2 linked regions of the Yarrowia lipolytica genome follow. The protein of the gene in region 1 binds, or shares a complex with, the protein of each later gene. Links are inferred from orthologs where the notes say so. Each region holds a gene or a part of one and is shown on either strand. Other genes may lie near its edges.

Region 1 (4,315 bases):
AAACCACAGAGCGGGTTCAAATCCAGTGACTGCGACGCACAAGTTTCAAACATCAAAACTACTGGACGCATGTTGGCCGTTATGTTAGTAATCACTCGGGTACTTCAAAGCTGCTCCTGCTGACGAGTCGAGTGACTCAGGGACTTCATCACTCGCCCAGTGGCTGGTGATGGTGGTGGAGATAAGCAGGAGTCGGACTTGTAATCATACGACGCGTCGTTTTGACTTTTTTTTTTCCAACACGAAACGCGAAATACATTAATTTTTGTGGAGAAAAAGGAGACATGAGGAAGGCTTCGAGTTGTCCGTGAAGAAAGAAGAAATGGTGAGCGTATTCCGAGACACGCACTGAATCAACCAATCTCCTTGAAGTACAAATCAATGGAATACCGAGTCGTGTAGTAACTCCAAAGGCGGTTTGCTATTAGTAAGTACACTGTATGGATGTACTATAGAAGTATCTTTCCAGACCTCAGTTGCACCTAGTGGCACTCCGCATTACATGAGGCACTGCTATATCACATCACTTGATGTACTGGATCTACACCCTCTTCATCCACCCTCTTCCACCCTTCTCTACCTCTAAACATACATTGCACTATATTGCTTTTACCATCTTCTCCTCCTCTAATTACTTCTTCTTGGGATCCTCAGCCTCGTCCTCGGTGTCGGTGTCGATATCCGACAGATCCTCCTCCTCCTCGGAGTCCTCCTCATCGTCGTCCACTACGGCGGCCTTCTTGGTGCTCTGGCCCCGGGCAGAAGCCAGAGCGCCAGCAATGGAGTCCTCCTCAGGCTCGGAAATGTCGTCCTCGTCGTCGTCATCAGCGGGAATCTCCGGGTTCTTGACCTCCACGTTCAGCTTCTCCACAGCATCGACGCCAAAGTAAGCCGTGTTGAGCACGTTAACCTTGTACGAAAACTTGCCGGGGAACATGGGAGTGGGGTTCTTGAGCTGGATCTTGAAGGAGCCGATAACGCCATCCTCCACGTCCTTGCCAGGCTTGAGATTGCTCAGGTTGGATACGTCGAGCCGGGTGATCTCGCCGGGACCCTCGACAATCTTGTTGTCCTTGTCAGAGGTGATAAACACAACCCACTTGCCCTGATGGAGAGCAGGGAAGTAGGGTGCGTAGGTGTGAGGCAGCAGAGGAGCGTTGCTGTTGGTGATTGTGGGCTCCTTGAGCACCTCGATAGGCTCGTCGAGATGCAGATCATGCTTGAGCTTGGCGGTATCAATGTTGAGAGGTCGCTTGGTGCCAAATGGCCGCACCCGGATTCGTAGAACAAGATGGGCAGCAGACTGGGGGGTCACCACGTCTTCACCAGGCACCTTGAAGTAGGCATCCACAATATCAATCTTGGGCACAGCGTTGGCGGTGTTCTTGACCGATGTAATATCAGATTTGTCGACGCCCAGAATCTCCTTGAATTGGGCATCCTTGAAGCCCAGGATGGAGCCGGTACCGTAGCCCTTGGCATTCTTGGTCACCTGCTCGTAGTCCACGTGAGGGAGCTGCAGCATCTCTCCAAGAGGAAGATGGTCGAGAGAAACGGCCTGAACCATGGCTCGCTGAACCTCAATAATTCGCTGAACCACCTCCAGAGGCTTGAACTCGATGGCAATGTCGGCAAAGCCATCCAGCAGCTTGGGGGCCAAAGCAGCCACGCCCAGCATAGCGGCGGGCTTGGAAGAAGCCTTTCTGTGGAGGTAGTCGTCTAGAAGCTCGTAGACCTGCTTGCTGGTGAGCTCGGGGAAGTTGATTCGGTACTCCTCGGCCTCGGACACGGCCTCCAGGATTCGCTTGTGAGTGATGTAGTCTGGCTGCTCCTTGGCCATGATGGAGAAGAACCGGGCTGCGGTCTTGTTGTGGATTCCACGACGAGTGTAGGACTTGACTCCGGTCCACCACTTGCCAATGGTGTAGGGGAGGATGACTCCCACGACAATGGCGTAGACACCAATGAGCAAGGGAGAGCCCTGGCCCTCCACGAGCCACTTGGGCAGAGCAATACCGTGGTCGGTCTGCTGGGGGCCGTCAGGATGGCCAAACTCCAGAAAGTTGTTTCGGGTGACTTCGTCTGTCAGCGCCTTGTAGGCCTTTGTGATCTGGACCCACGCGTCCTCCACCTGCTCCATGGTCTGGTTAGCCACCAGCTTGATCTTGTCGGGATGCAGCTTGACCGACAGCTTTTTGTAGTGGCTCTTGATTTGCTTCTCTGTGGCCGAGAAGGACACGCCCAGAATCTCGTACGGATCAAACGTGTCGGCCTTGACCTTGACCTCCTGTTGTGAAATGAACACCAGCGCTCCAATCAGAGCCGCCCACCCCGCAACCAGAGCCACGTTGCGCTTGGACAGCAGCTTTCCGCGCCGTTGCTTGCTCTGGAACGAGTCAATGTCCGCCGCATGGGGGGGACGGAATGGTGTCACGCCCTCGGGAAGAGTCGCCTGGGTCTTGGGGGGACACAGAACCGGATAGACGGCACTGAGAGTCCAGGGGACTAGCACCAGTGAGCCCAACGTGACCGCAAAGTATGGCCACACGTCCGACTCTTCGTCATAAGAGTACGAAGGCATTTTTGAGTCTGTGTTGTGGAAAGAACCAAAGATGTGTGATGTACAGTCTGTAGATGACAACTGTGGTTGGGAGTGTGACGTGTAGTTAAAGTAAGGTTTGGCAAAGTAGATACAGTAGGTGGAGGAGGAGTAGAAATGGCGAACAGACTGGAGTAATTTTATGGGAATAGGCGGTGTTGTTGTTTTTTTGGTCATGTGTATTGTCACGTGACTTGATTTCACGTGACTGTTTGTTTCTGAGGCTCCCTCCTTCCCCCTTATACTGTGGTCAATCGCACACTACTTTTCAAGGGTAAGGGTTGCATTGTAGATCAAGAACAGGGTGGAATAAAAATATAAAATATAAAAAAGTGTGAATTTATATAGTTCAGTTTATTATTCATTGTAGCTCAGATGGACATGGAGCTGGGGACAGAAGGCGAAAACACGAGTTCCTGAGAATCAATTGTGACATGACCGGGTCTGGGAAGTCGTGTGACCAAATGTATAACACATTACGGCCGCACTTGTAGACCAGGTGCCCCACATCTCCACGCCGTTCCGTCCTCCTCGTCCTCCTCTTCTTCATCCTGCTTGCAATGGCGGCGCGCGCGTATGTATGTATGTACTGTACTGTACTGTACTGTACTTGTAGATGGGCAAGTTTTTGCTGTCTGAAGAAAAGACGAGAGCAGGACGAATTTGCGAGTCATGCAGCGGGGATGGAATACGACGAAACAGTCCTAACCTGTGTTTTTGACGTAGGAATCACATCTCATAAGGTGTTTTTCCAGCGTGATTGATTGACTTTTCCGAGGAGGTTTGAATTTGGATTAGTACGAGTATGTGAGTGTGTATAGGGAGAGTGATGGAGACCTGGAGAGCGAACTTTTCCAGGGTTATATGGTATCTTATTGTTTGAAATGGCCAACTTATTCTCCTTATGAGTTTTTTATTGGAACCGGATCAACTTTGACGGAGTTTGTCCAGTCTTGATAGTGGGTGTATAGTACAGTGTGAACCCTACAACTGTATGTAGGTTTGTACTGTATTTACATTTACTATGGTTGACGTATGGCTATATAATGAAGTCTTCGAGTTATACCACCCATTTGGTATTCTCTTCAATTAATTCAGAGCAGGACATTTATCAGCTCGTCGCGTTATCAGCCATATTTCAACTTGCATTCTTTTCTTTTTTCACGCTTTTTTCTCGCTTTTTTCTCGCTTTTTTCTCGCTTTTTTCTCTCTCGACTTTTTTGTTTTTCTTTTTATTTATTTTTATTTATTTTTCTTTTTCTGGTTAACCCTGACAATATTTCAACTACGAGTTTAAATCTAGTGGAGACTGAAACTGAAACTGATCTTTTACTTGGGGAAATGTTTGTTTTTGGGCGTGAAAATTGATACCCTTGATATTCAAGCGTCAAATAGCTGAATTATTATCCCTCTTTTGACTCTAGACACGTCCCACTGCTTCTACAAGGACATTTGGCGCAGGTCTCGATTCTCATGCACAAGCAAAAACTACACTTTTTTAAATTGGCGTGCATTTTCATTTTCGTTTCACCAGTACCACCACAAACAATGAGTTATCGAGGACGCGGACGAGGCCGAGGCGGCTACAACAATAGCGGCGGCCGCGACAACAACAACAACAGCAACAACAGCAATCTGACGGACATTGAGGTCCGAGGGTGGACGAACGCGCCTAAGGACGATCTTGTACGGTTTCTCCAGGACAAGGGCGGGTTC
Region 2 (2,798 bases), on another chromosome or scaffold:
CCGAGGGCTGGCATCGGGAACAGATTCCTTCGGGCCAGGGAGCATGGGCTCCTGTACAGCTCTTGGACACTCCGAAATCCGACACATTCAGGGGGGCAATGTATCCGCCTCCATTCTTCTTGTTCGCCTGCGAATTGAGCTTTTTGACGTAGGCATGGTAGCTCATATGCTTAATCTTCTGCTCCTTGAGATACTCCTCGTCCCAGGGGTCGACTGGAAGAGTGTCTTCGCCCATACCTCTGGATCCAAACTTTCGCTGCTGGAGTGCTGATAGCTGTCGCTTGATCTTTCCATCTTGTTTCTCGAGATAGTCATCGACAGGCAATTGTTTGGTGGCGTCTCGAATGTGTGCCGCGGTCATTTGGGGAGCGGTTTCGGCCGTCACAGCCTCCACAGCAGCTCGTGGGGCCGAGTCTGTGTAGCTGACAAACAGCATATCACCATGATTAAGCCCCAGCTTCTGGACGGTTTTACCCAGAAGACGAGAGGCCGGTTCCTGCTTGCCTGTGGGTGACGTGGCAAGGGTGATTGTGGCGGGATCGATGTCTGGCAGGTCTTCAGTGAGCTTCTTGAACGCCACATCGAAGAGATCTGTGGGCTGGGCCTCCGCTCGAAGAGTGCCCTTTTTGGACCGGAATCGCAGGATCTGAGTTAGTCTGGGCACAATTCCACAGCTGTTTGTGTCTGCAGTACTCACCATTCTCGAAAGTAGTGGTTGATAGAGATGATGTTGAGATGGAGCTTCCTGTTGCCACTGGGACAAGCATATCCGAGTGAGGATTTAGAGTTTGTTAAAGATATTTGGCTCTACTTGGAGAATCAATAAAATAAAAAACAAAACAGTATATATAAAAAAAGTAGCTGGATGGCGACAGACAGTGTGACGTCTGTAGTATCGTACCAAGAGGTCAAGATATTGCCTCAATATGTATTACAGTGGTGAAGGAGAGTATTTCGGGTCTTTAAACATTCGGAAACGCCGTTTGAAGGTGTCCTAGTTTGGGGCTGATGATCATGTACAAGTTTCATACAGTATAATTAGCAGCCTAAATGATAATACTACTGTAAGCGCGGGCATAATGGCGGATGGCATGTGTACAGCCAATGAAAAGGATGCTTGAACGGTCGGTTCAGAAATTGGTGGCCACAAACACAAATTCGTGTACTCGTACTCATATTTGTAGCCACAACTAGACTCTAAACACTTCACTCGGCTTACCTAATACCATCCCACATTGGCATGTTCTAATTAAATCTCAAGTATCATTATGTAGCAAAGCCAAGTAACTACATAAACTCTAGAACCTCTTCGACTGTCGTCTAAAACTACCCCAAAATAGCCCAAATCTGGTTCTGGAAAAAAAGCAACGATATCCTCGGGACGCGTATACAACCATTAAAAAACAATTGCAACCAAAAAAACATCCACGTGACCACACTCTGTCGTCCTCTCCAGCCTCGTCTATGCAACGCGCGTAGCTGATTATACTACACCTTCTTTCTCCAGTGCAAATAGAGTTATTCATAGGTGGCCGAAGCGAAGAGAGTCTAACAAGAACGAGACACACGTAACGTTACCTCTGTTAACACCACACACACACACACACACACACAACAGACCGACAAAAGACCGACAATGGAAAGCAGCAGCGGCGTTTCCATCTACACGCCCTTCATCTACTTTGCCGTGCTTGTGACGGCGCTGGCCGTGTTTGGCAAGATCTACCGATCCCGGCAGGCGGTCAACCTGGCAGGAGTCGAACCGTGGTACCCCGATCACATTCCCCGAGACATCTACTTCACTCTGCGGGACCACACGTCGCCCCGTCCATCCGAAAAGGTGCTCAAGGCCGCTCTTCTACGACGGTCGGCGGAAAACATCAAGCGAATCATCAAAACCAAGGAGGCCAAGCCCCATCTGACTGCTCTTCACGAGGCGGGATCCATTGGAGATGATCTGCTGCATCAGTTCACCGCGTGGGAGAAGATGATCGAAATGGAGCTCAACGACTGTGCCGCTGAGGCCAACACATACGCCGAAAACTGGGCCCAAACCATGTTTGCTACTGCGTCGGAGATCATCCAGAACGAGGGTCTGCGAAGACGAGTCAACGAGCTCAACGAGAAGGAGAAGGCCTTTGATGCCGACCTGGTCCAGGCCAAGGTCATTGTCGCTTAGATCAATATAGAAATGGAGGTATGATATGGATCCAGTGAAGCGATAAAGTGGGTGTAGAAGAAGACTGGCACTAACTGCGAACCAATGTGATAGCAACGGGTCTTTGTAACGAATGTCAGACCCTACTACTTGTTAATGAAGCGATGATCATTTGTATTATCTTTAGACAGATTGCACATTGGGTTATGGCGATGGCTCGCAGGACAAGAAGTACTTAGACCCATCGAAGGGCCAGGAGTTTTCTCAGAAAGCGTCCGTGCTTTCCGTACGGTTTGTGTTGGTACTTGTAGTCTTTTGTATGAGCTATACGGTGTCTGTACCTCTCATCGTACAATAATTGCCCATTACTTATACATATATACATGTCCTCCGAGGAAGCCCTAAGGAGCCCTAAAGAGCCCTAAGGAGCCCGCTTCTTCTTGCCAACCACCTTGAAGGCGGTGTTCCATCCATCATCCTGAGGAGCAACCTCGGCATGCTGAATCACCTCGCTCCATTTGACAGCAGAGTCACCATCAGCAATCTTTCTTCGCTTGAGGAACTCGGCAGCAAACCGTCGACCGTCCAGAGTCGACGAGTTGGCGTACACAATGTCGGCAATGATCTCGGTGGACTCCTC

Evidence for each region.
Region 2: the proteins of YALI1_A18273g (region 1) and YALI1_E16164g are in contact, whole or in part, in a cryo-EM structure (PDB 6N3Q), measured with the Saccharomyces cerevisiae proteins. The link is inferred for Yarrowia lipolytica from reciprocal best matches to the Saccharomyces cerevisiae genes SEC63 and SEC66. Residues at the interface, in NP_014897.1 of Saccharomyces cerevisiae: Gln247, Thr250, Lys251, Lys252, Asn256, Ala259, Ser260, Val263, Val267, Asn268, Tyr269, Lys270, Pro271, Ser272, Glu273, Ile274, Thr276, Ile339, Gly342, Phe343, Arg344, Leu365, Pro367, Thr528; in NP_009730.3 of Saccharomyces cerevisiae: Asn69, Lys109, Leu113, Gln116, Ile117, Leu120, Asn123, Gly124, Ser125, Ile126, Gly127, Glu128, Asp129, Tyr130, Arg133, Arg178, Arg179, Ser182, Arg186, Val189, Glu193, Trp194.

What each region holds. Positions count from the first base shown.
Region 1 is NC_090770.1:1,824,520-1,828,834, forward strand, and holds YALI1_A18273g (uncharacterized protein), read right to left. Parts: upstream 2,777-4,315; coding exon 632-2,776; downstream 1-631. Other genes in the region: YALI1_A18286g (uncharacterized protein), read left to right, coding at 4,073-4,315. UniProt on the Saccharomyces cerevisiae protein: Acts as a component of the Sec62/63 complex which is involved in SRP-independent post-translational translocation across the endoplasmic reticulum (ER) and functions together with the Sec61 complex and KAR2 in a channel-forming translocon complex.
Region 2 is NC_090774.1:1,615,292-1,618,089, reverse strand, and holds YALI1_E16164g (uncharacterized protein), read left to right. Parts: upstream 1-1,636; coding exon 1,637-2,179; downstream 2,180-2,798. Other genes in the region: YALI1_E16174g (uncharacterized protein), read right to left, coding at 1-700; YALI1_E16121g (uncharacterized protein), read right to left, coding at 2,580-2,798. UniProt on the Saccharomyces cerevisiae protein: Acts as a component of the Sec62/63 complex which is involved in SRP-independent post-translational translocation across the endoplasmic reticulum (ER) and functions together with the Sec61 complex and KAR2 in a channel-forming translocon complex.